Canis lupus familiaris: one gene and its partners. The protein of the gene in region 1 purifies or fractionates together with the protein of each later gene. This does not show direct contact. Links are inferred from orthologs where the notes say so. Each region holds a gene or a part of one and is shown in the gene's direction. Other genes may lie near its edges. The genes, in order: OTUD5, EEF2, SLC7A11, CACYBP, CDK4, CNP and SERBP1.

The links.
Region 2: the proteins of OTUD5 (region 1) and EEF2 purify together in Homo sapiens (affinity purification with mass spectrometry, with the first as the bait; 3 studies listed by BioGRID). This does not show direct contact. The link is inferred for Canis lupus familiaris from reciprocal best matches to the Homo sapiens genes OTUD5 and EEF2.
Region 3: the proteins of OTUD5 (region 1) and SLC7A11 purify together in Homo sapiens (affinity purification with western blotting; 3 studies listed by BioGRID, with this or other methods). This does not show direct contact. The link is inferred for Canis lupus familiaris from reciprocal best matches to the Homo sapiens genes OTUD5 and SLC7A11.
Region 4: the proteins of OTUD5 (region 1) and CACYBP purify together in Homo sapiens (affinity purification with mass spectrometry; 4 studies listed by BioGRID and IntAct, with this or other methods). This does not show direct contact. The link is inferred for Canis lupus familiaris from reciprocal best matches to the Homo sapiens genes OTUD5 and CACYBP.
Region 5: the proteins of OTUD5 (region 1) and CDK4 purify together in Homo sapiens (affinity purification with mass spectrometry, with the first as the bait; 4 studies listed by BioGRID). This does not show direct contact. The link is inferred for Canis lupus familiaris from reciprocal best matches to the Homo sapiens genes OTUD5 and CDK4.
Region 6: the proteins of OTUD5 (region 1) and CNP purify together in Homo sapiens (affinity purification with mass spectrometry; 3 studies listed by BioGRID, with this or other methods). This does not show direct contact. The link is inferred for Canis lupus familiaris from reciprocal best matches to the Homo sapiens genes OTUD5 and CNP.
Region 7: the proteins of OTUD5 (region 1) and SERBP1 purify together in Homo sapiens (affinity purification with mass spectrometry, with the first as the bait; 3 studies listed by BioGRID). This does not show direct contact. The link is inferred for Canis lupus familiaris from reciprocal best matches to the Homo sapiens genes OTUD5 and SERBP1.

What each region holds. Positions count from the first base shown.
Region 1 is NC_049260.1:42,311,294-42,315,481, reverse strand, and holds the start of OTUD5 (OTU domain-containing protein 5), read left to right. Parts: upstream 1-1,388; 5' UTR 1,389-2,165; coding exon 2,166-2,759; intron 2,760-4,188. UniProt on the Homo sapiens protein: Deubiquitinating enzyme that functions as a negative regulator of the innate immune system. Has peptidase activity towards 'Lys-48'- and 'Lys-63'-linked polyubiquitin chains. Can also cleave 'Lys-11'-linked ubiquitin chains (in vitro).
Region 2 is NC_049241.1:55,972,687-55,976,781, forward strand, and holds the start of EEF2 (elongation factor 2), read left to right. Parts: upstream 1-1,295; 5' UTR 1,296-1,449; coding exon 1,450-1,452; intron 1,453-2,411; coding exon 2,412-2,626; intron 2,627-3,521; coding exon 3,522-3,703; intron 3,704-3,788; coding exon 3,789-4,000; intron 4,001-4,095. UniProt on the Homo sapiens protein: Catalyzes the GTP-dependent ribosomal translocation step during translation elongation.
Region 3 is NC_049240.1:5,026,375-5,029,874, forward strand, and holds part of SLC7A11 (cystine/glutamate transporter), read left to right. Parts: intron 1-1,041; coding exon 1,042-1,157; intron 1,158-3,500. UniProt on the Homo sapiens protein: Heterodimer with SLC3A2, that functions as an antiporter by mediating the exchange of extracellular anionic L-cystine and intracellular L-glutamate across the cellular plasma membrane.
Region 4 is NC_049228.1:24,270,209-24,273,708, reverse strand, and holds part of CACYBP (calcyclin-binding protein), read left to right. Parts: intron 1-1,166; coding exon 1,167-1,263; intron 1,264-1,509; coding exon 1,510-1,609; intron 1,610-2,861; coding exon 2,862-2,959; intron 2,960-3,500. UniProt on the Homo sapiens protein: May be involved in calcium-dependent ubiquitination and subsequent proteasomal degradation of target proteins. Probably serves as a molecular bridge in ubiquitin E3 complexes. Participates in the ubiquitin-mediated degradation of beta-catenin (CTNNB1).
Region 5 is NC_049231.1:2,166,960-2,170,938, reverse strand, and holds the start of CDK4 (cyclin-dependent kinase 4), read left to right. Parts: upstream 1-1,179; 5' UTR 1,180-1,380; intron 1,381-1,852; 5' UTR 1,853-1,871; coding exon 1,872-2,089; intron 2,090-2,222; coding exon 2,223-2,358; intron 2,359-2,474; coding exon 2,475-2,642; intron 2,643-2,776; coding exon 2,777-2,886; intron 2,887-3,146; coding exon 3,147-3,197; intron 3,198-3,342; coding exon 3,343-3,478; intron 3,479-3,720; coding exon 3,721-3,813; 3' UTR 3,814-3,979.
Region 6 is NC_049230.1:20,761,855-20,764,412, reverse strand, and holds the end of CNP (2',3'-cyclic-nucleotide 3'-phosphodiesterase), read left to right. Parts: intron 1-577; coding exon 578-1,027; 3' UTR 1,028-2,058; downstream 2,059-2,558. UniProt on the Homo sapiens protein: Catalyzes the formation of 2'-nucleotide products from 2',3'-cyclic substrates. May participate in RNA metabolism in the myelinating cell, CNP is the third most abundant protein in central nervous system myelin.
Region 7 is NC_049226.1:43,506,274-43,510,327, forward strand, and holds the start of SERBP1 (plasminogen activator inhibitor 1 RNA-binding protein), read left to right. Parts: upstream 1-1,254; 5' UTR 1,255-1,376; coding exon 1,377-1,689; intron 1,690-3,247; exon of another isoform or gene 3,248-3,262; coding exon of another isoform or gene 3,263-3,350; intron 3,351-4,054. UniProt on the Homo sapiens protein: Ribosome-binding protein that promotes ribosome hibernation, a process during which ribosomes are stabilized in an inactive state and preserved from proteasomal degradation.

The sequences.
Region 1 (4,188 bases):
GACAAAGGCTGAGTGGGGGTGCCACTCACTGTCAAAAGGAACATCAGAGCTGTTAGCAGACAGTGTCAGGCGCATAGAAAGTATTTAGTGAAGATTAGCTAGTGATTATCCTAAGTTCAATTTTAGACATGTAGTGCTGGACAAGTATCCAGTAGGAAATCTAGGTCAAGTGGGATGATCATGAGACGATTCAATGTGATAACACGCATAGGCATTTGGCACAGTGCCCTGAACACAATAGGCCCATTAAATGTGAATCTTCTCCCATTAAGTCTTCAGAGCAGTGAACACAACATTCCATTTGTAACTGACACCCTTCAAGGAAGAACTTCAATCAAGGTCAGCATCTGCAGGAAGAAGGTTAGATGGCACTCAGAAGAGCTTTCTGATCGTCTTTCAGTCAACATGTTATATGGCTTGACTCCTAAGACTGGCAGCAAGCCTTCACCTCTCGAAACAACTTCCTGATTCATAAGCCCATCTGAACCTGTAACTACTCCTTGAGGTAGTTTGGGCAGGCATTATCATTACCCGTTTTGCTTGGGTAACCTCAAATTTGAGACACAGTGACTAGCTCAAGGTCATAGAGTTGGTAACAATCCATCAGGGTCAGGAACTGAGGTCTTCTTGACCGTCAAGCCTGGGATCCTTTTTTTTGCATGCCATTCAGACTAGTTTATTGAACACTTACTTACTATGTGCTAGACACAGCACTAGGCCCTTTACAAGCATTCATCTCTGATCCTTAAGTCATAATTACCACTTCCATGTTACAGAAAAGTAGTAAGTGCAGATGGGGTCTCCTGACTGGCTCAGTCCAAAGAGCATGCAACTCTTGATCTCGGGTGTTGTGAGTTCCAGCTCCACTGGGTACAGAGATTACTAAAAAATAAACAAAAAATTTTTTGAAAAACTGCAGATGGGGTGGGTGTTAAATGACTTGCCAAAATCAGTCACACAGGAGAGGCAGAGCTATGATTAGCTTGTAGCTCTCCCACCGCTCAAATACCACGGATTTTACCAACCCCCTTGCCAGGGGGGCTGGTAACAGCTCTGGCTCATAAACTTTTGCTCCATCCAGGTAAACTTAGTTGCGGGGGAAGGGGGGGCAGGAGGGCAGGTCGGAAAGGCTGTGCCGCGCTTGCGCACTAGCCACAGGGGCGGGGAGGTCAACGCGAGGGCGAGAGCGCTGCGGCGCCAAAGGTGTGTCTGCTTCCCAAACACCCAAGGTCCTCGCGAGGCAGGTCTGTCCCAGGGTTGGCCGGTCCAACGTGAGTGACGGCCTATCTTAACCAGTCACCGCAGAACTCGGCCTGTTGCCAGGGTGAAGCGGCGCCCGCCTCTCCTCTGGATGTGGATTTGCAGGTGGGTGGGACCGGAACTGACGCTTCAGGGGAGTGCTAGTGCTCTGGGAGTGTTGATATTTTCCAGTCAGTCCAGCTGACTGCGGCCAAGTTGGGAGCCTGGCAGGGGAAGCGCTTTCAAGATTGTCGTGCGCGGGGCCGGCCACGCTGCCCTGTTGTAGTACCGCCGCCTGCGAATTAGAGCCTCGGAGAGAGAAGAGAGTGTGACGGAGTGAACGAGAAGAAAGGCAAAGAACCGAGGCGCCGACTTTGACTGAAATCTGAGACCGAAGGCTCGGGAGGGCGATTGCTCGCATCTGATTGGTCCGTGGGCGTCATCGAGGACCTACGCAGGCGTCTCGATTGGTTGGTGCCCTCACTTGTTGTGGCGGCGGCGTAGAATTTTGCCCACGTACTTCCGAACGAGAGGCGGGGCCGTGCTCTGGCGCGCGTGCGCAGCGCCCCGGGGCCCCACCCGGTAGTTCAAGAACCTGCGAGGGGGCGGGGCGAGGAGGTGCTTGTTTTGGTTCTGTTTCCTTTGAAGCAGCAGTCCGGAACGAGCGAGCGTAGCAATAAGCTTGTTGGACTTGGAAAGGAGGCTACGACAAACTCGCCGCGGTGCTTTCATCTAGGACTTAACATCCGGGTTCTCCTGCCGCGTGACCCGCGCGCCACCGAGGGTTCTCGAACCGGTGCTTCAATCCCTTTATCCGGGTCTCGCCGATCCCGTCGTGCTTCGCGCACCACAGTAGCCCCCTCATCCGGGTTCTCTCCCAGCGTGCCCCGCGCCGGGTTTGCTGGGGGGTACTTGGCGGTGCCGCCATGACTATTCTCCCCAAAAAGAAGCCGCCGCCTCCCGACGCCGACCCCACCAACGAACCGCCGCCGCCCGGGCCGCTGCCCCCGGCGCCGCGTCGCGGCGGGGGTGTGGGCGTGGGCGGCGGCGGCACGGGTGTGGGCGGCGGCGACCGCGACCGTGACTCGGGCGTCGTGGGGGCCCGTCCTCGGGCCTCGCCACCGCCTCAGGGCCCGCTACCGGGGCCACCGGGAGCGCTTCACCGCTGGGCGCTGGCCGTGCCGCCTGGCGCCGTGGCGGGTCCGCGGCCACAGCAGGCCTCTCCTCCTCCCTGCGGGGGCCCTGTTGGTCCCGGCGGCGGTCCCGGCGACGCGCTGGGCGCAGCAGCGGCGGGTGTGGGCGCGGCGGGCGTGGTGGTGGGCGTGGGCGGAGCGGTAGGCGTTGGCGGTTGCTGCTCTGGGCCGGGCCACAGCAAGCGTCGGCGTCAAGCCCCCGGGGTCGGAGCGGTTGCAGGGGGCAGTCCAGAGCGTGAGGAGGTCGGCGCAGGTTATAACAGTGAAGACGAGTATGAAGCGGCTGCTGCTCGCATCGAGGCAATGGACCCCGCAACCGTCGAGCAGGTAATGGGCTGGGGGTGACAGGTGAGTGGGTATGGTGAATGGAAGTGCCCAGACTGGGTGGGGACCTAAGGAAGGCTGTTTGAGATCTTCCAAGGGACCTATGCTTTCTCCCGGAGCCTGGCATTCTTCTTTGATGGTAGGGGCTCGAGACACTCTCTTCCCCGCCCCCTACCAAGGACTTGGGGATCAGAAGCCCCAGATAAGATGGCGGACTTACCGATGCAGTCTGTGGTCCCTTCTGGAACCCGGAACCCTTACTCCAGTCCCTGAAAGCTCACGTACGACCAGTAGGTGGGAATGCCTCCTGAGAGGGGAGTCTCATGGCTCTGGGGGACCTGGTGTGTGTTTGATGCCTTGAGATTTCCTTTTTTCTGGGATAAGTCTCTAAGACGACTCCTTGTGTGAACACAAGTAAGGTAGAGACCTCAGGATAATTTTGAGCATCCCCGAGATACCTAAACCCTTTTCAGGGGTCTGAGAGACCGTTTATACAGGACAGCACTCCCACTTCCTTTTCGGGGAGACAGCCTAGGACCACGCAGAAGTCCGAGTCTGAGATTTCCTTAAGGGGCCTAAGTCTGCCTTCAAGGGCTTGAGACTCCCTCTTCTAGAATCAGGAGCCTGATGTACACACACATATATATTCCCTTTAGAGAAGGGGATCTTCTGAATTTTTATTAAGGGAGATAAAATTTCTTCGAGAGAGTTAAGATTCCCTTTGGGGACAAGGGCCAAAACTAACACTCGGACCAGAAACTACTAAGGTGCATGAGATTCATCCCTTTTCTAAGCGATAAGGGTATATGCTTCCTTTCAGTGGTCCCAGACCTCCTTGGGGCCAAGAGTCTGAATTTCTAAGAGCTGAAGCTTCTTTTAACTGATAGGCCTTCAGCTCTTCTGTCCCCCAACCTCCCCAGTCTGAACCTTTCTTCAAGAAAATAAGCCTCATTGTTTTGGGTACTTGAAGCTAAGATTCCCCATGCTTATGGATTGGGGCTTACAGAGATGGGGTTTGAAGCCTCTTCAGGAAATGGATACCCCCCACACAGAGGTCCCAGGCAAGGTGAGGTCTTTAGAGGTCCTTTTTAAATCAGGGATTGGTATCTGAGTGTTCTCCTTGGGTGGTCTGAGACACTCCCTCCACACACACAAACACAGGGATATGAGATCCTTCTACCCTGATTATGAGGGAATGAAACACAGCTTGGGTATGTAACAGCCCTTTCTCCCCCTGTAACAGGGATCTTAGCATCCCCTGCTCCAAAGGCCTGAGCTTCTTGTCAGGGATAGAAGATCTCTGCTTCAGGAACTGTAGCCAGATAAACTCTTCAGAGAACATGGTAGCATGGAGTCCCAGAGATGGAGCCTGAGGCCTACCCATAGATCTAAGTCTGCCTTCAGGGCCTGAGACCCATTGCACCAGGGACAC
Region 2 (4,095 bases), on another chromosome or scaffold:
CTCTCATGAATAAATAAATAAAATCTTAAACAAAAATAAAGCCCCTGAATCAACCCTCAGTGTAAATGCAATCAGTGTAAATGCAATCAGGGCTGGACAGTGCTTTACAAAGCAAAACATGCAAAGCATTTGTGGAAGGAGGGATGCACAGGCTGAGCTCAGATTCCATCTAGCATTGCCTTTTGGGGATACACATCTTCCCTCTTCCCAGCTGGGGAAAAGCCATGCTGTCCCTCTCATTTTGACAGCATGAGTGTAGGGGAAGATGTACCTTATGGGGTTTGTGCTAGTAAGAATACTGTTCACTGATGATGCAAGAAATATTTCCTAAGCATGTATTTCGTACCAAGCATTGAGGTTGGCTCTTTATAAAGAATAGAGATATGGAATGGCATGCCGATTTGTTCTCTCGAGCCAAAGACCTGAATACAATAGTTTGTTAGGGTCACATTAGGACACAAATGCAAAATAGACTTGTGAACCTCCGGCTGGAGAGGAAATGAAATAGAAAATGAGATGGCACCTGGAAAGCGCTGAGCCCTGTGCCTGAGACATAGCAAACCATGTCCCTGAAATAAATGTTGTATTAATAGCAATGATAGCTAATTAAGAGAGCTGACGTGCTTTGGGTGCTGTGTCAGGCACCAGAGCTAATCCCTTTGCATGTGTTTACTCTTTCCTTCCCCCAGTGAAGTAGTACCGATTACCCCATTTTACAGATGAAGAAACTGAGGCTCAGAAAAACCCAAATACCTAGTGTAAGAGCAGGTAAAGTGGTGGGGCTGGTAAGGTGTTTTGTTTATTGCTATAGCGACTACACCTATCACAGTTCTTGGTGAAGTAGATAGCCAATCTATCTTTGTGGGATAAGCGTGTGATTAACATCTGCTTTCAAAAAAGGTTTTCATATTTGAAATAATTATAGGCAGGTAGTTGCAAAAATAGTACAGAGAGGTGTCGAGTATCCTTGCTCCACTGTCCCTCAGTGGATTCATTACATAACAGCAAAACCAGAAAACTGGCTGCGGTACAATCCACAGACCCTTTTCCCATTGTCAAGTGCTCTTAACAGAAGTGCATGGCATTTTGGAAGCTGATAGAGCTGCTACGATTAATATTCTCAGCTAAAACGGCGCCTTTCGCTTTCTGCACCTGAGCATCGCATTCTGGAGGCGTGCCCCCAGGTCCCGGGAGACCACCGCCCCCGGGAGCTCCCGCAGCCACGCCAGCGCCTGAAGGGTTAACCGGAGGAGTGCGTCCTTGCGCCTGCGCAGGGCGTTGCTTCTCGCCCCGCCCCCGCAGCGCGGTCAGATGACCCGCCCAACCGGCTTCTGCCTATAAAAGGTCGGGTGTTGACGTCAACGTTCTCTTCCGCCGTCGTCGCCGCCATCCTCGGCGCGACTCGCCTCGCTCGGATCTACCTGGGAGAATCCACCGCCATCCGCCACCATGGTGAGCGACGCCGGCGGGCCGGGCGGCCTGGGAGGGCGGCGGGGCCTCCGCGGGGCCGGCGCTCTCGGCCTTGGAGCGCTGGGGCCGCCCGGACGTGGAGAAGACATGGCGGCGCCGGCGGGGCCGGGGCTGAGGAAGCGGCCGCCGCCATGTCTGCGCGACGCGCCGTTCGCCGAGCCCCTTCCCCGCTTCCGGGGGCGCCTCCGCCTCGCGTGGAGCCCGGGCCGGTCCGGAGCTGGGGCCGAGGCGGGGCGGGGGGGTGGTGGTGGTGGTGATGATGTGGCAGACGCTGTAATGGCGGGCGCCGTGTGGGGAGCGCGGCGAGGGGAGCCGCCTTCTGTAACCCGGGTCGTGAGCTGGGGGGTCCGCGGGGGGGGGGGAGCCCCTCCCCCCGCCCAGCGCGGGGGGCCTCCCTCGCCCGCCTGCCTGTGCCCCCGGCGCGTCCGCGTCCCGGCTCAGAACAGCTGACAGCCGGCCTGCAAATGGAGGCTGGCGTCCGCGGGGGGCAGGGCGAGCTCCCCGCCCAGCCGTCCCTCCGGGGGACGCTGGCCCCGTGTGACCCCCAGCTGGAGGGATGACCTTGGATCTCCGGTTGGGAGAGGCCGGGGAGAAGGCAGCGGGGATGGGGCTTGCGGGGAGCCTCCTCCTTCCTGCACCCTGCAGCGGCCGGGCTGCCTCTGACCAGCGTGTGCCCTGGGAAGTCACGGCCTCGGGGCCAGAGACTTCGTCCCCGCCCGAGTTGCGGTGTGTCCGTGACAGGCGGCGTTGCCCCTCCCCCCCCCCCACGGGGCAAGTGGCATTTTCAAGGGGTGTCAGCAAACAGATGGAGTTCAGGTGGTGGTTTGGGGCCAGCCCAGCTGCAGTGTGCACACCTGGCAGGGGCCTGGCAGCCCATCGATTGTGAAGTCCCAAGGCCGCCTGGGCAGGCCTGAGCCTCCCCTCCTCCCCTCCCCGCCCAGGTGAACTTCACGGTAGACCAGATCCGGGCCATCATGGACAAGAAGGCCAACATCCGAAACATGTCCGTCATCGCCCACGTGGACCACGGCAAGTCCACGTTGACGGACTCGCTGGTGTGCAAGGCCGGTATCATTGCCTCCGCCCGCGCTGGGGAGACCCGCTTCACTGACACCCGGAAGGACGAGCAGGAGCGCTGCATCACCATCAAGTCCACGTGAGCAGGCTCTGATATCCTAGGGAGGATGGGAGGGAGGTCCTCACCCAGGTCTTGGGTGGAGAAGCCAGAGGGCAGGTGCTACCGTGTTCCTGGGGCTGCTGGGGAGATGATTGGAGCAGCTGGGGGTTGGGATTCTGAACTGTGAGGCAGACAGGCGCAGTGGAGTGATGGAAAAGTGCAGCCAGTTGGAGAGGCGCAGTGATGCTTGGGGTGGGGCGGCAGGGGAGCCTTGAAAAGAGGGTTAACCCGGCAGCTTCATTTCAGGGCTCTGGGCAGTGCCTGGAGAAGTGTGGGGGTAGTGCCACTGGCATAAGGACGCTGCCAAAAATCTTATGCTGTGCAGCGACAGTTTTTTGGCTCCCCGTTTTGAGCAAGGGCATTCAAAGTAGTGCCTGTAGCTGCCAATTATCTATTGTTTGTGAGGTTCTACTAGGTCATTTGAGATTTATTTTAGGTGACAACGGAGGGAAAGAGATAGTTTAGGGTTTTTAGATATAGTTTGGGCACAGGGTCAATATTTGGAAGCAAGTGTGTTGAGCCTGGGAATAACCTGAATGAAGGGGCTGCACAGGTGGACTCCCAGAGGCTGCTATTGGTAGCTGGTACTAGGAGGGAGGTGGACCTCCCTGGCTGAGGGCAAAGCTGCTTGGGTGGAATGGTTTCTTTGTGGGAAATCTGAAATCTGTCTGCAGGAAGAAGTAATTAGCAAGGAGAGGAAACAGGTTGTGGTGTTTTTGTAGTGTGGGACTTGGTTTTTTAACCGTTTACAATCTCCTTGATACTTAAGAAAGCCATATTAACCCTGGACAGGAACCTGGGCTTGACTCCAGGGGTCACTGGGAGGGCAATGAAACGTGGCTTCCATCGATCCAACTTGCACCAATCTCCTCAGGGCTATCTCACTCTTCTATGAGCTCTCCGAAAACGACTTGAACTTTATCAAGCAGAGTAAGGATGGCTCTGGCTTTCTAATCAACCTCATCGACTCCCCGGGGCACGTGGACTTCTCCTCAGAGGTGACTGCCGCCCTCCGTGTCACCGACGGTGCCTTGGTGGTAGTGGACTGTGTGTCTGGTAAGCGATAAGTACCCCCCTCGGTGTGGCTGGGACCCGGGGGCTATTACCTCCTCCTCTGGCTGATGGAGATGCCCATCCCCAGGTGTGTGCGTGCAGACAGAGACGGTGCTGCGGCAGGCCATTGCAGAGCGCATCAAGCCAGTGCTGATGATGAACAAGATGGACCGGGCTCTTCTGGAGCTGCAGCTGGAGCCTGAGGAGCTCTACCAGACCTTCCAGCGCATTGTGGAGAACGTCAACGTCATCATTTCTACGTATGGGGAGGGCGAGAGCGGTCCCATGGGCAACATCATGGTAAGTAGCTTAACTGCCTATTGAAAGTGAGGGTTCCTCCACCAGCTTGCTGATGTCACACGTCTCCCAAGGTGGGGAACCACAGTCCTTAACTC
Region 3 (3,500 bases), on another chromosome or scaffold:
GTAACTATGAGAAGAGAAGCTGAGAGCAAAGATTGGCAGGAGAAATTATATAATTCTATGAACTTGCCTGTGTATGGAAAGACTACGCATTTGTATAGAAATATAGAGTCACATGTCATTTTCTCATAGAAATATTAGAAGAATTAGAGTAGAATGCTTAGTTACCTATTTTACTATAGACCTGAACTTATTTAATTTTCTAATCTCATGCATGTTTTCTCAATTGTATAAAATCACAACAGTGTTTTTATTTTTCAACTTATACTCTGCATTTAAATGTTTTTATAAAATTAAGAATAATTACTTGGCTTGTCAAGTTTTTGTTGTACCAGAAAAATAAGAAGAATACAATGTAAGGACAAAAGTGTATATTTGCAATGAACACTTATTAATAATAATTTTTGAAGTTGAATTTTGTGTTCATTTTCCTGACTGTGCCCCCACTCATTCGATCTGCTCCCTTGACCCATTCATGCTGCAGCTGGAGTTTAGTTGTTGACTTATTGGGAGGACTGCTTCTTGTAAAGCCCAGCTTTGTCAAGATCTCAATAAACTAGATTTTTAAGGAAAAAAAAAAGTCAAATCCAGAAGAGCAGTGACAAAATTGATAGCACAAAGACTTACTTCCATGGACATGGGAAGTTAAAAATAGCCACTGAAGTTATAGGCAATATTTTCCTTGGAATGTCTATGACAACCTACTCAAATATGGAGTTTGGAAAATTATAGACTTTTATTTATTTATTTATTTATTTATTTATTAATAAAATATTTTATTTATTCATGAAAGACACAGAGAGCCAGAGACACAGGCAGAGGGAGAAGCAGACTCCATACAGGGAGCCCGATGTGGGATTTGATCCCAGAACCCCAAGATCACGCCTTGAGCCAAGGCAGATGCTCAACCACTGAGCTACTCAGACATCCCTAGACTTTTATACTTAGCATGTTCTTTATGTTGAATAACATTACCTCAAGTTAGAGAAAGTTCAGTAAAGATGCTACTTATATTTTCCTTTGTTAACCTAATTTTTTTTCCAGCCCTGCAGCCACTGCTGTGATTTCTCTGGCATTTGGACGCTATATTCTGGAACCATTTTTTATTCAATGTGAAATTCCTGAACTTGCAATCAAGCTTATTACAGCTGTGGGCATAAGTGAGTATCACTGGTACAAATATGAAAAAGAAAAAAAAGCAAAATAATTGATGACAAAATTTCTGTAGATTTTTTGCATGATGGGATTGCTGTTCACATCATGCTCTTTTGGTGTTCAGTTCCTTGCCCAATTTGTTTCAGAAAATAAAGAAAAGAATGAGGATTCAGAATGATCTCTGGTATTACATTTTATGTCAGTTTACACTGGGTCAATAGATATGATGGCTAATCTTTTGATATAGGCAAACAAAAACCACTTTATTAGTAAAATAATACATGAAGAGAGAATTTTACAGACAAAATCCCAATTATTTTATGGAGTTTTGAATTAGAAATTATCCTTCCTCCTTGATAATATGTTGAATGATAACTCACTTATCCTTATAGAGTGCTCCTCATGTGTTAGGTGTGTATGTTGTACTCAGACATTTTATAATGTTAGCAAACTGTCACTCCCAGTGTTACAGTTTTTGCTGTCCATTGATGGTCATGATAAAAATCTGCTTTTAATATTTGATTATTGGTAGCACTTCTCAAAATAGGTCTCCATATTAGGAATTTGTTCATTTTTATCAATGTGCTCAAATACTAGACATTTTTTTAAAAGACATGTAAAAGAGGAATATACACAACATTACATAAGTGGTATGAAGCCAAACCTTTGAATATTATGGAAAACAATAACTTAATTCTAGATGCTAATTGAGCCAATTTTAAGAATCAATATAATCATGTTTGATTAAGTTCTATTTGGAAATGGAAAATGACACAGGAATAACTGAATTTCATACCTAATGAAAAATTTTTCATTTATGTATCGTTATGGTATTTCAATAGAACACTGAACAATGCACATTTACTGGTAGGGAAGTGAGTGGCTTGTTTGCAGGAAATAACTAGGAATTCGACATAAAAATATCTCTAGTGTAGATACATATATTTTGAACATAGGTTCATTCTGGATTTTCTATCTTATCTACCAAACATGTACACACCATTATCCTGTGAAATCTTTAAAGAAAGATTTCTGAGTTCTGAAGGGGTGATGGCAAACTTAACTCATCATGGTCCCTAACGGACACTACAGATATGAGACTTAGGGACAAATCATCAAAGCTTTCCACACTTCAGTGTTCTTACCTGTAAATCCTGCAGAGTCTCATAGGGTGTTTTGTGAAGAGTAAATGATATTAGCTGAGACAACAAACATATAGTATTTTGGGTGATGCCTGCAATTTATTAAGAACAAATTACAAATAGTAGCTGTTTGTGCTCTTGTGGGAAAACATCATTTGAAGTTCCATGAGACCAGGGGCTCTTTCGCTGCTATATGTCTAGACCTTCACATGGTTTTTGTGTGGTGTTCGTGCTCAATAAATATTTGTTGACTCACTGATTTTGTGAGAAGACTTCTAAGAATTTTTCTCTAGTAGAAAAATATACTTGTTAAACCTGGAGGATTACACATCTCCAGTTTTCTCAGTAGGACAATGGCGGTAAATGAAATAGAGTTTGTTCAATGTGATCTTCAGATCTAATACCATGAGCTTTTGTGGGATGAACTATATTAGCATAGTAGTTACAGCTCTGGCTCTGAAGGCAAACAGCCTGGAATTGAAACTTATTGTGATAATTTCTTAGTTATGTGATTTGGAGCTAAATATTAAACCTTCTTAAGCATTACTTTTATTTATTGGTAAAATATCTGCGAAAATATAATCTGTCTTGGATGGCTGCAGAAAGATGAAATTACATCAGGTTTTTAAAGCCTTAAGCAAAGTGCCTTGCCTGTAGAAAGTTCTTGATAAATCTGGTATCCCACTAAGGGATTGGACTAACAGGCATTATTATAACCATGATATTTTTGTCCCTAAAATGACTGAGGCAGAATAGTAGCATGATTATTATATTCAAAAAGGAGATGGAGGTAATGTTTTTGAGAGATTTGTAGATTTACAATAGGAGTTTTAAAAGTTATCTCTAGTGTAGGCATGTGTATTCCTCAATTTAATTAAAAGAATTAGCAAACTTTCAGTAGATTTTATGTAAACGTTTACAAGTTCACAAATACTGCCTCTTTGGATTTCAAATGAGATGGATAATCATGACATAGTGCTATTTTGGTAAGGTCTGGATGGCTCTTTTTCTTTATCTCAATGCTATTAAATATTTATTTATTTATTTATTTATTTATTTATTTATTTATTTATTTCCTCTGGTTGAGAACCCTTGCTTTATATCCAGCCAACTGTCTTTTCTTTTTAAAGATTTTATTTATTTATCCATGAGACACACACACATACACACACACACACACACACACACACACAGAGGCAGAGACAC
Region 4 (3,500 bases), on another chromosome or scaffold:
GAGAGAGGCAGAGACACAGGCAGAGGGAGAAGCAGGCTCCATGCACCGGGAGCCCGACGTGGGATTCGATCCCGGGTCTCCAGGATCGTGCCCTGGGCCAAAGGCAGGCGCCAAACCCCGCTGCGCCACCCAGGGATCCCTCATGTATCTTTTCAAAGTAGTGTTTTTGTTTTCCACAAGTAAATACCCCATAGTAAATTTACTGAATCATAATGGTATTCCTATTTTGAATTAACTGATTAAGCTCCATAACTGTTTTCTACTTTGGCTGTACCAATTTATATTCCCACAGTGTACAAGGGTTCCTTTTTCTCCATATCCACACTCACATTTGTTATTTCATGATTTTTTTTTTCTTTTAAATTCTAGACATTCTGACCAGATGTAAGGTAACATCTCATTGTAGTTTTGATTGGTATTTCCTATGATTAGTGATGTTGTACATCTTTTCATGTGTCTTGGCTAACTGTATGTCCTTTGGGAAAACATTTATTCAGGTCCTCTGCCCATATTTTAATTGGATTGTTTGAGGGGTTTTGGTGTTGAATTATATGCAAGTTCTTTATTTTATATATTAACCCCTAATCAGATTACTTGCAGATATCTTATCCCATTCAGTAGGTGGCCTTTTCATTTCATTGATAGTTCTTTTATATACAAAAGCTATTTATTTTAGTGTGGACATAACTGTTTTTGCTTTTGTTTTGTGCCTCAAGAGCCACATCTAGAAAAATGTTGCTCTGGCCAATGCCAAAGCCACTATTGTCCGTGTTCTCTTCTAGAAGCTTAGGGTTTCATGTCTCACATTTTGGTCCTTGTCTATTTTAAGTTTATTTTTGTGTGTGGTGGTAGAAAAATGAACTATTCTTAAAGAATGTGTTAAATGATCATATTCCTTATTCTAATGAATTAAAAAAGGGGGAGCTCTGTGTTTAAAAAAACCTGGATTTTAGAAGTTCTGCCACTAGCTAGATGCCTAATTTTGGGTAGATTTTGTAGCTTTGTTACAAGCTCAATTTCTCCATCTAGAAAATTTCTTATATTTTTAATATTTCCCATGTTTCTAATACTAGAATTTAGTTTCCAACAGTTTTAGGAGCCATATGCATTTGCTGTTCTAGAGATAGTTACTGACTTTATTCATGTCCCTTTTTTGTTATTACTAGGATGGGATCAGTCAGATAAATTTGTGAAAATCTACATTACTTTAACTGGAGTTCATCAGGTCCCCACCGAGAATGTGCAGGTGCATTTCACAGAGAGGTGAGTTCTCACAAATGGGAAGTATAATGATCATTAAGTCAGAGATTGCCTTATTACTCCTTTTCTTGTCAGTTTCTAAAACTGTTTAAATTTAGAATTCTCCTTTCCACCTACTTTGAAGAGGTTAATATCACCAAGGATGGACAAATGCACATCCTAAAATAAAACTTATGGCTTTTTTCCACAAGAGCTATAGAGCACCTCTCATATAACCAGAAAGATCATGTATTCACTATTGTATTGTAGGTCATTTGATCTTTTGGTAAAGAATCTAAATGGGAAGAGTTACTCCATGATTGTGAACAATCTCTTAAAACCCATCTCTGTGGAAGGCAGTTCAAAAAAGGTAAGTTTGCTTTTATTTTATTGTGAAACCTCATTAAATTGAACCAGGTTAATTTAGAATTGAGAAAAACTAGAATTTTTCTGTAATGGATCAGCAACTACAGCCTGATGGCTATGTTATTGGAACAGGCCCCCCTATTCTCTTGTTTGTGTGTTCTCTGGCGCTGATTATGTTATAATGGCATAATTAAGTAGCTGCGCCAGAAGCCTAAAATATTAACTATCTGGCCCTTTGTCAACTCTTGCCTCTAGAATAGATCATTATAAGAATATTGCATTTAAATCAGGAGGGGAAAAAAATAAATCAGGAGGGGAATAAGCTTCTAAATTGATTAAGAGTGAGCTTGAATATTAATGTCAAAAAAATAAAAAGAATTTTAATGTCAGTTTTGCCACTTACTAGTTGTGACTTTCTGGCAGCTCAATCATTCTGTGCCTCAGTTTCCTCATTTGTACAATGGGAATAATTTATTTTACAAAGCTGAAATTATATACTGAAATGAAATACATATAAAATGGTTAAATTAATGGTAGCTATTATTAGAAGCACCATACCTAAATTTTTGATACATAAAAAGACTTAATTAAGCTAAGTTAGGCTAAGGACTTAGCCTAACTAGAATTAGTAAAATCTATAAAAATAAATAGCCTTTTAAACTACTACACTTTTCACTAATTCAGATAATCTCTTTTCTATTTAAGTTAAATAAGGTTTAATGCAGCTGGCACATAAATGTGCCATTCTGCCATCTGTGTTTACATAATTATGTAGCAGCTTAAAGGCAGTATTAGAATATAATTTATTAATTAGCTTGTGTCTCCGTGCTTCCTCCTTCATCCATTAATCTCATAGTTGAATAAATACTCAAAAGAATCCTGGGAATTACATGGATTGTTGTTGAAACAGTTGAAATTATATGATTTTGCTTTGTGCCTATCTCTGATCCCTCTTACTCTATCACTCTCCTTCAATCACCAAAATCCCACCACACACACTCTTTTTTTTTTTTTATCAGACCCACCAAAATCATCCTGTTTTATAGCCTATCTTGCTGTGCCCTTCTGGATCTTGGGTCACAGCTCAGATTTCACCTCACAGAGGCCTTTCCTAATGAAGTTCTTCCCTCAAACCCCATTAACACCTTCTTTGTCTTGGTTTTTGTCTTAACATAATAGTAACTTGATTGAGTAAATGTTTTCCAAATAACCATGTTTATCGCCACATGCTGTAAGTTGTACTTGTTTTCTTCCAGGTCAAGACAGATACAGTTCTTATCTTATGTAGAAAGAAAGCAGAAAACACACGGTGGGACTACCTGACTCAGGTTGAAAAAGAATGCAAAGAGAAAGAGTGAGTTTACTTTCATTTCTTTAAGAATTTTAATGTATTCTTTGCTGGGATTGTAGATTTTTAACACTTTGCCATTGTGGATAAGAGTTGTATGTGATTTGACCATTTACCTCTTAATGTTCTCTGAGTAACCCAAGCATCTTACATCTTTCTGTCCACTTATCTAAGGAGGGCACATGTCCAGGAAGTTGCTTTTTACAGTGGACTTAGTTTTGATTGGGTCTTTTGTATTGGTTCTTAACCCTGGGCTTTTAAGAGAGGGATCATGTGTGAGCAGATTTGGGGGGGCGGGGAATGCGGCGCAGCCAAGGGAGAGAGAATCTTAAAGGGCTCCACACCCAGTACAGAGCCTGACACAGGGCTCTCCATCTCTCGACTCTGAGATGATGACCTGAGCTGAAACCAAGAGTCAGACACATAACCAAATAAGCCATCCAGGAGCCCGGCCAGTTGTGCTTCTATGTAGCTTGTGTGTCCATTCCCAGAGGTTCCATTTCATTAGTCCCAGATACCTAGATACACTTTTTGAATTCCACAAAAG
Region 5 (3,979 bases), on another chromosome or scaffold:
CGAGATACTGATCTCTTCCCTCCTTACTCTCATTCCCCTAAAGGGCTAGGAAATAAGGAAAGTCAGAGGAACCTGTCTATTGTCGACCTAAGTGTCTGTGAGCAGAAGCAATTTGGGAAAGTCCAAGTTCTGGGCGGGAGCAAGGACTAAGAAAGCTCGCACCGGGGGAAAGAGGGAAGCAGAACGACCCCAAACAAGGAGTCACAGGGTTTGTGGAAGAGCACAAATCATTCTCACGCAGTGCTGAGGTCCAAGGTGGTGGTGGAGGTAACCTCCCTGCACACGCTCACTCCTGTATCTGTCCATCTGTACACAATGTGTAAAATACCCACACATACACAAACGCGCATATCATTGCCTCTCCCTGTTGCAAAGAACCTTGCAGGTTAAGTGTTTCTGTCTCTTGCTCATTGGTAATTTCTCCGCCAGAAAGCACCGTCTTATTTTAACGCTCCCTGGAAGAGGTGGAAGTTGGAAAGATGGGAGGGCATCACCTTGACACTCCTCCGGTTGGGTCACTGCATTAGTGTGCCTTCCGTCAGTCCGTTAGTGCTGGCTGTGCCCTGAGATGGGTATTGTCCCCACCGGGGGCTACGTCTTTCCAGACAGCCCCATCACTCCTTTAAAGGGCCAGCGACTGAGACACCGGAAAAAAAAAACCCGCATGCACACAGGAAGCGAGCACTCGGTAAAAATTTGTTGAATGAGCCAATGAATGAAACAAAGACACAAACGAGACCAGGTCTCCCCGCGGCAGTGAGGCCGAAAGGCTCCAGCGCCCGTCCCGCCCCCGCCTCGTCTCCAGCTCCCTGACCGCCGCGCACAGAGGGAGGCGCGGAGCGAGGAGCGAGCGCCAGAAGCGCTCAGGCGCGGCCTGCAGCTCGGCCCTGGAGCCGGGTGGCCCGGGTTGCCATGGCACCGCCCTGGACTCCACCCTCCCCCGTCTCCCCGCACCCCCGCCGGGTCTGGCAGTCGGTCACGTGCCCCGCCGCGTAGCCACACCTCTGCTCCTCCGAGCGGAGTCGGGCGGTCACGTGTGATAGCAACAGATCACGTGGCCGCCGTCGCCCCGCCTGCCCTCTCCCCTCCCCGCCCGCTTCCCGGCCGAGGCCGCTCTGGCCGCCCCTCTGCGCACGCGCGGCTCGTCACGTGGCCCGAACGTCCGGCTTTCGCCCCGCCCCGCCAGTTTCCGCGCGCCTCTTTGGCAGCTGGTCACATGGTGAGGGTGGGGGTGCGGGGGCCGCTCTAGCTTGCGGCCTGTCTATGGTCGGGCCCGGAGCGTCCAGCTGCCCCGGACAGAGCTCCTGTGTATGGCGCCGCAGGCTCTGGCTCCGGGGCCCCGATAACGGGCCGCCCCCGCAGCACCCGGCGCCGAGTGAGGTGAGCGTGGCGCCTTCCCGGGGACGGGACCGCTGTCGCCCTCGCGTCTGCCTACGCGGGCAGGTTACGGGAGGGTCGCTCGAGGGCGGGAAGTGCGGCCCGCGCAAAGTTCCTTTGTGGTCAGCTGGGATGTAATGGTAGGGACGGATGTCGAGTCTTCGATGCAGGGGGTGTGTCGTGTGCGGTCTGCCCCGTGCGGGGCGCGACGGCCCGTCCCCGAGGAAGAGGAATTCTTTCTTTGAGGGATTCACGTTTATATTTAAGGCGTGGGTTAAATAACCCCCCCTGGCGGGGTTGGGGTTAGAGCCATTGTGTCAGCTGAGGAGCCAGCCTCACGGAACTGGGGAGAGGGACGGGGTGGTGGAGGGGGGGTCTTTGTGATGCCTTGTGGGGGAGTCACCTCGTTGCGGCAGGCTCATACCACCTGAACTCTTGAGGGATTTTCGGTGGCAGGAGGCTTTTGTGATTGTAGGGTCTTCTCTGATCCGAGAATGGCTACTCCTCGGTACGAGCCAGTGGCTGAGATTGGGGTTGGTGCCTATGGAACGGTGTACAAGGCCCGTGATCCGCACAGCGGCCACTTCGTGGCCCTCAAGAGCGTTAGAGTCCCTAATGGAGGAGGTGCCGGAGGGGGCCTTCCCATCAGCACAGTTCGTGAAGTGGCATTGCTGAGGCGGCTGGAGGCTTTTGAGCATCCCAACGTTGTCCGGTGAGAAGGTGGGGGGTGGGGAGTGGGTAGTAAAGGGGAAAAGACAACTTGTAGGTGGGGATTCTGGGGAAATGGGGAAGGCCGCATCGGGTCCAGAGGGATTGATCAGTGAGTGACCACTTGTTCTGGCCAGGCTAATGGACGTCTGCGCCACTGCCCGAACCGACCGGGAGACCAAAGTGACCCTGGTGTTTGAGCACGTGGACCAAGACCTGAGAACGTACCTGGACAAGGCACCCCCACCGGGCTTGCCAGTGGAGACCATCAAGGTGAGTAGGGTGGGTGGACACTGAGGAGTAGATTGAGACCTTTGTGGCAGAACCTGCTGTGATTTCAGGTATGGTGCCTAGTTCCAGGTCCTCTGTTCTTCCCCCTTCTAAACCAGGATCTGATGCGCCAGTTTCTAAGAGGCCTAGATTTCCTTCATGCCAACTGCATCGTTCACCGAGACCTGAAGCCCGAGAACATTCTGGTGACCAGTGGTGGGACAGTCAAGCTGGCTGACTTTGGCCTGGCCAGAATCTACAGCTACCAGATGGCACTTACGCCTGTGGTCAGTAGCAAGAGGGGAGTAGGAGAGGGGTTGACCGTAGCAGTTGAGAAGTCGGGCACTTTGTGACTTTAGTCAACCAGTTATGGTTCATGGTAACCCATGGGGTCTTCATCCACTTTTCTTGTTCCTATTAGGTTGTTACACTCTGGTATCGTGCTCCAGAAGTTCTTCTGCAGTCTACGTATGCAACACCCGTGGACATGTGGAGTGTCGGCTGTATCTTCGCAGAGATGTTTCGTCGCAAGTATGGGACCCAAGCATCCTGAACTATTTTGAGTTTCCCAAACCAAATCTCTTAGTCATAGATCACATCCATTTCCTGCCCAATCTTTCACTTAAGTATTGTTGACTGTTCTGTCCCTAACCAGAAACTCTGAAATGTCCCAAAGTTAGGAACTTCACATCCCTGTATTCCCCCACACTCTCTGTTTTGAGCCATTACCTACCAGTAATTATTCCACTACTGTATCTTTGGACATGACTTCTGTGTTTTTTCCACCTTAGGCCTCTCTTCTGTGGAAACTCTGAAGCTGACCAGTTAGGCAAAATCTTTGAGTAAGTGACCAGCATGAGGGGAGAAAAAAAAAACTTTCCATTCCAAATCTTTTTTCTGCTGAGCCCCACATGGCAGTTGGCTCTGCCCCTGGAGATGTGGGCTAGAGAAAGACCCTCTTGACCAGAGCTCTCCTGTTCCCCATAGTCTGATCGGGCTGCCCCCAGAGGATGACTGGCCCCGAGATGTGTCTCTGCCCCGAGGAGCCTTTTCCCCTAGAGGGCCCCGTCCAGTACAGACAGTGGTACCTGAGATGGAGGAGTCTGGAGCACAGCTGCTGCTGGTACTGGGCGTGGGCACGGGCACAGGCTGAGGATGGGGTGGAAGACCGAGCACTAGCATTGCGGTTACTAAGACTTGGTTGGTGGATGGGCTAGTTTTTACTGGCGCCAGTGAATAGGCCATCCATAAAGAGGGATGTAGAAAATAGCCCATCCTAGGTATTGTTGGGGGTGAGCGGAAGTCTTTTTCTTTTTTTTTTTGTTTTGTCTTCATGACCTTTTGATCTTTGCCTCCCCTTCTCAGGAGATGCTGACTTTTAACCCACACAAGCGAATCTCTGCCTTCCGAGCCCTGCAGCACTCTTATCTACAAAAGGCAGAAGGTAACCCAGAGTGAGCAGTGGAATGGCTGCAACGGTAGCAAGAGGAGAGAAGCTGTCTTTTCTCTTCCTTTGAACACTTGAGTGGAGAGCTCCCCAAACTAAGAAGGCAGTCTTGACCTTCATCTCTGAGGCTGTGGAAACAACTCCCACTTTTTACAGAGAATATTTTGCTGCCTTAAT
Region 6 (2,558 bases), on another chromosome or scaffold:
ATGGTCTTTCTCAGAAAATCAGATTTAATCGGATCTGATTAGTGTGAGCTGATGTAAACCAAGGTGTACAAGGTGGATTTTGATCAGAGGCACTTATTTCTGACCTCAGCTTGTCGTCTGGGATATTGCCTGGGCTCTATGGTGGCTTTTACCAGGCTGAGCTGAGTAGTAATGACAGTAGCACTTGTCACATGCCTGTCACTGTTCTAGAATCTTCACCCAGACACTCATTTCATCCAGACACTGGGGTAGGTTCTAGTATCACCCCTGTGTAATGAGCCAATGCAGAGAGGTTAAGTGGCTTGCTCGAAGCCCTGCAGCTAGTAGGTGGGGAGCCAGGATGAGTTCAGGAAGCCTGGCTTTCAGCTCCCGGTGTCCAGCACCATTGGCACCTCCACTTTCTCACATCAGCCTGATGGGGGCAGCAGAAAGATGTCCTCTCACAACACAGGCTGTGCGCAGCTTTTACCCGAGTATTCTACTCAGTGGTGTCCACCTCTGCTAAGCCCACTCTTGGTCAACTGTCTGCTCCAGGGGCTACCACCTCTAGCTTAGGGCTGTCATTCTGTCCCTGCAGGTGGTGAAGAAGTCTTACTGCAAGGCCTTCACACTGACCATCACTGCCCTCTTTGTGACGCCCAAGACTGCTGGAGCCCGGGTGGAGCTGAGCGAGCAGGAGCTGCCATTGTGGCCAAATGACGTGGACAAGCTGTCCCCTTCCGACAGCCTGCCCCGGGGAAGCCGGGCTCACATCACCCTCGGCTGTGCGGGTGACGTGGAGCCCGTGCAGACGGGCATTGACCTCCTGGAGATTGTGCGGCAGGAGAAGGGGGGCAGCCGAGGTGAGGAGGTGGGTGAGCTAAACCGGGGCAAACTCTACTCCTTGGGCAATGGGCGCTGGCTGCTGAGCCTGGCCAAGAAGCTAGAGGTCAGGGCCATCTTCACGGGGTACTACGGGAAGGGCAAACCTGTGCCCACGCACGGCAGCCGCAAGGGAGGCGCCTTGCAGTCCTGCACCATCATCTGAGTGTTCTCACCGCTGTCAGCCCCCCGGTCTAGAAGAGAAGTGGGGGGAGAGGGAAGCATGCCTTCTGCTTGATCTTTAGGAAATTTTTTTTTTTTTTTTTTACTCAAAGTTAACCGTTCCGTAACTTTTTAAAAACTTGTAGCTTCTCCTGCCCACCCTTGTCCCCTCTTAACACCCAAGCTTTCAACATTAGAGGGGTGTGGGGGAGCGCCATTCAGGAACCCAGAGCGAAGCTGACAAGGCTGAGCTAGCCTGGGCCTGGAGCCGCAGCCACAACCTCAAGCCCTGCTGCCTGTCCCAGGTGCCCCTGCCCCAAGCTGGCTAGCGCAGAGAGATGCCCCAGAGCTGCATGTCCCCACAGGGTGGTCACTGCGTCCATGGGAACTGGAGAGGGTGGGAGGGATCCCTGGGCTTTGACCCTGGATCTTAATCATTACAGCCCCATGGTAGGCTGGGGCTTCTTACCAGGGTAGAAAAGAGAGGTGGGGGGGTTCATCCCACCTTCAGTCCTAAGTGCCTGTCCCCTCCTCCTCCACACTATAACTAGGGAATAGTTTGACAAGTAGGGAAGAAAAGAGAAGAATAAGCAACAGCCACATCCCAGTTGGCTATTGGTCTCGCCCCAGGCAGGGGACAGGCTGGCCATCCTGTGCAGTGGTGTGGCTGTGTCATCGGGATGGGAAGATGGAGGCCAGAGCAAGTACCTTGGTGGGGAAGCTCCCATCTTGCCGTCTGCCGGGTCCAGCTTGCCTCCTCCACAGGGGGCCAGTGGGTGGGGACCAAGCGCCAACAGAGTGGCCCTCTGGCTGGTGAGGACCACGCCCCAGCTAGTGCCTCTGGGAAGGGGTTTTTAACATTGGTACATGTGCTGTGGTTTCTGGGGTGCCTTCCACTGCCCCCTGCTCAGTAACAGGGCCTTGCTAATCGGGTTGTCACTGGACGAAAGTGCTTGAGATTTAAGTTACTATCCTGGCTTTGCCCAACCTCAGTGACTTGTAAGACTGACCGTGAAATAAACCGTGTTAATCCTGGCCGTGTGCAGTCTCTCTCACCCTTCTGTGCCCAGCTCAGTCTTCCCTGGGGCCAGGGCTGGTGTATCAGGACTGGCTTTGTCCCGCAACTTGGGGCCATCGGTCCTGTCTCCCCTCTGCTGGCTGGGCACAGCTGTGGTGAGCTTGGGCAGCTGAACAGTGTTGGCTTTCATGAGGCGGCAGAAAGGAGAGCGGCTGATCTTAGATGCACACAAAGTGGGGGGTGTCTGGGTCTGAGGGACGTGGAGCAGAGCCTGTCGTCCCCCATTAACTGAGGCAAGAGACCCACAGGTGTGCCAGCCCCAAACAATCAGAGGGACTGCTCAGCTAGACCCACGGTGCTGGTCTGAGTTTCCACCAGTTCTCTAGGGAAGGCCATCCTCAGGAGTGTCGTACAGGCCAATGGGGGAGCTTCTCAGGCCTAACTCAGTCATCCTATCGCCGTGGCCTTGGTGCTGGTGGAGGAAGACTGGAAAGAATGGGGTTGGGGTTGGGGGGGT
Region 7 (4,054 bases), on another chromosome or scaffold:
TAGAAATTTCTCCCCTTTTCCCCCAAAACTCATTCTTATTTTTATATTAATAGGTAAAATTCTCTGAGGAGCACAAGTAAACCTCAGAAACTCATAGCCACACAATTCCTCTAAATGGGGCTTATCTGTAAGTATTCTTATTGTAATAACACTTGATAGTCATAAAGATCTGTTTGAGGAAACCAGGGATCTATACATAAGATAAAAATTGCTAAGGATAGTCCTACCCCACTCCCTAGCTTGTGGTAACATGGGTAAGTTAGTAAGAGTTTTACCAAATATGTTTGAATATGCACTGACATCATCTATTGCCTTACTGGACCTTAATATTCCCAACTAATATCAATACTTTTAGTAATGGCAATTAATTTGCTGACATATTTTCCCTACCCTCATCGCATCCCTCGGCACCCTTACACACTCGGATGCTTTAAAACGTTTCTTGAGCACATTTTACTAACACCTAATCCTTGGCTTCCCGGACGCTAATGGACAACTGGATTGACTTCAGAAAGTGTTCCTACAAACAGTGCTTTTCGAGGCTTGCCCTCTGTCTAGTTAGTGCCGCACTGTTAGGAGTTAGCTGCGATGAATGCACCCATCGCAACACTCAGGAAAGGCGCGCAACACCGCCCTGTGAGACAGTTCAACTCGTCTCTGATTAATTGCGCTAACCCAGTTCGTGTCCCCGCGAGAGAAACCGTATTCCTCCTCACATTGAACAGAAGAGTCTCGATTCATTATTGGCGGTGCAAGAGGGCGACTCCAGCACCTGGGCAGCTAGGGACTTGGAACGGATCGGGACCTGCCTCCGCGAGGCCCGCGGGGTACCTCAGCAACACCCTAGCACTAGAAGTTTGTAAAATCTGGAGTCACCTTGACCCACCCCCGGAGGTGAGGAAAGTTAGTCCTGGACTGGAGACGGGGTGAGTAAAACCAGAGACAGAGAACTTTCGCGAGCGAAAAACGCCGTCACGTTTTCCTGTTTTCGGTGTAGCTCAAGACCCAGAGAGTTTAAGGGTGGCTGGAGCAGGTGGCAGGACTCCGCCCACCACCGCGCTTCCACTCCCTCTGCTAGCACGCTCCACTCCCTCCGTGAGGTCCCGCCTCTTAGGCGCGCGCGAAGAATTGTCACGCCACGCATCCTGGGAATTGTAGTCTTGGCGCCGGGGGCCGCCTCAGGAGAAGCGACTCTGGCCTACATACCCCATAGTGCCGTGCGGCGCTGGCCGCTCCCGGATGTGTGCCTGGCGCCGGAAGAGAAGCCGGCCCCCCTCTCTCGGCCCGGCCATCTTGTGGGAAGAGCTGAAGCAGGCGCTCTTGGCTCGGCGCGGCCCGCTGCAATCCGTGGAGGAACGCGCCGCCGAGCCACCATCATGCCTGGGCACTTACAGGAAGGCTTCGGCTGCGTGGTCACCAACCGATTCGACCAGTTATTTGACGACGAATCGGACCCCTTTGAGGTGTTGAAGGCAGCAGAGAACAAGAAAAAAGAAGCCGGCGGGGGCGGCGTTGGGGGCCCTGGGGCCAAGAGCGCAGCTCAGGCCGCAGCCCAGACCAACTCCAGCGCGGCAGGCAAACAGCTGCGTAAAGAGTCCCAGAAAGACCGCAAGAACCCGCTGCCCCCCAGCGTTGGCGTGGTTGACAAGAAAGAGGAGACGCAGCCGCCCGTGGCGCTTAAGAAAGAAGGTAAAGCTGTGGTGGAAGGTGGGGGAGACCGGGATGGAGGGAAGGAGCGAGGGGGACTTGCGGCTACCACTTGCTTTCGGAGTTCCGAGGGCCCGCGGGAGGCTTGGCCGCCGATTGCCTCCCGTTTCTCCTCGCGCTACAAAAGCCAGGTCCCGCGAAGGTGCCGGGAGCGTGGTAGCCCCAAGTTGAAGCCACCTGCGAGGCTCCTGGAGTCACCCCCTTCCCGCCTCAGTTTCTGAGCGGAGGAGCGTGCCCCGGAGATAAGCTGCTGCTGCTCGAGCGCGCTGCTGTCCTGGGAGGCTGTTGCCTTCCCGCCGGATTCCTTGGCGGGCAGGCGCGGCGACCGAGGTCTGAGGTCTGGGCGAGCTGGCCACTGACTGAAGCATTTGCAGTTACGGGCAGGCGTGGGGTCCACGGCCCCTTCCCACTCGGAGCTCGCCCTCGGCGTGCTGCTTTGAGGTGCGCTTGGCTCCTCTCCTGCCATCTTGTCCCACGAGGGCGCGGAGTACCCCCCAGCGAGACGCCGGGGGTCCGAGTGCACCTGACCTACTTCTGGGTTCCGTGGAGTGAGCTACGGCTTCAGGTGCCCCATGTGCCGTGTAGTCCCCTCTCCTCCCTTCAACTCGTAAGAACAACTAACTTGCTGGAGCGAATTAAGCTTTTGAGAAGACAAATGTGCTTACACTGTGGTAAGCAGAGGCGGGAATTCTGAACGAAGACTGGTTATTGCAGGAAATCCTGAGCTCGTCCTCTCTCCCCGACACCCCATCCCACCCCCTCACTCAATATTTCGTGTGGTGGCCCGGCCGGGGCCTCGTGGTGAATTGAGTGCAGAGGCTGTCACAACGTTAGCCCCAGCAGAGCGCTTTTGAATCTGTAGCTTTTTTCTCCACGTGTGCGTGAAGCATGGTCGGGATTCATTGGCGGGTAATAGTTGTTTCCAGAGGTCACTGTAAACTTCACAGGGTTGTCTTGAGGTTGATTTCTGCATTCTCTTATTGCTGGTTTGCCTTCTGTGTGGACAATAAAGCAAAAACAGTTGGAGGATAAAACGTGTACCCGATCAGCTCCGGAACTTTAAAAGTTGCCTTTTTATGTTAAAAGTTGAAATTACCTTTTACTGCCACGTGCTCCTGAAAGAAGTTGTTTCTCATTAGTTTTGAATTTTGTAGCATACAACTAATTTTCAGAATCACCAATTGTGTTAGGTTTTGGCTCAAGGTTTTTTTTTTTTTTTTTTTTTTTAATACAGAACTCCTGTGATGCTTGGAATGAAGAACCTATGATGAATAAAACAAAATAATTCTTGTATCAAAATTACAGGTTGGGGAGAAGCAGAATTTGGAGTGTTGGAAAGCTGGGTATACTTCGTTTAGACCAAATATCTATTCAGTCATCTTAAGTTTTAAAGCAACCTGTAGCACAGCTAAATAATTATTTAATTTCTGCGTTAAGGGACACAGGCCTGTGTTAATTATTATTTTTGCTCAAGTTTACCTCCTTGATCTCATTAATCCAAAAAAGTGCCTGAAAACGTTGAGCCTAATGTTTAAATCTTAAGTGTACCAGGTAGATGTGTTTCACCCATTTTGAATGTTTAAAGCATGAAACCTGGTTTAAACCCCTCAGTTGTTTTGATCATAAAGCCCATCTTGGAGGAGGTAAGCGCTTAACCTGGGACCTAGTATTTTAAATTACAGAGGTGGAGAATTATTATATGAGTTTATAACCAGAATGGAGTTCACCATTTAGTACTCTTTCCTTGGGAAAACTTCCATATTAGCTATCAACGTCTTCCTTAGATCAGCAATACATAGCAGTCTTGCTCTTAAATTGCATAAAACATAGTCTTAAAAATAAAAGGGAAATGTTGAATGAAAAAGATTTTTTTTCAGACCCTACTACCTGTCAGTTGATGTTCAGGGGCATTGGAGAAGGATAGACTTGTAAAAAGTCCACTTCGTGCAGTGGGAAAAATTGCTACCTGATTATGTGATCTTTGCCTTTGAATATAGGTCCTGGCAAATGCTAGACATACCTTAGATACAGTATCTAACATGATAGGAGTTTTGTCACTTGTCTTTTGTCCATTTGAAGAATTTGAGAACTGACACCACAGAATGTCATCGCTAAAAATGTAGACCAAGGCGTTTTTAAATTTTTTTTTTTTTTTTTCCGAAGCCTGGAATCGACTGAAAATCCAGTGAGTTTGCAAGTACATACAAGTAGGTTAAGAGAAGCTTGAATTTTTAAATGTCAGTCATAGGGTGAAATTATTTAGTAAATTTTTTAGGTTCTGTAAGCATAATAGTGAAATTGGGTGAGGAAGGAAGCCATTGTTCATTTGGGTGTGTTTGGCTTGGAT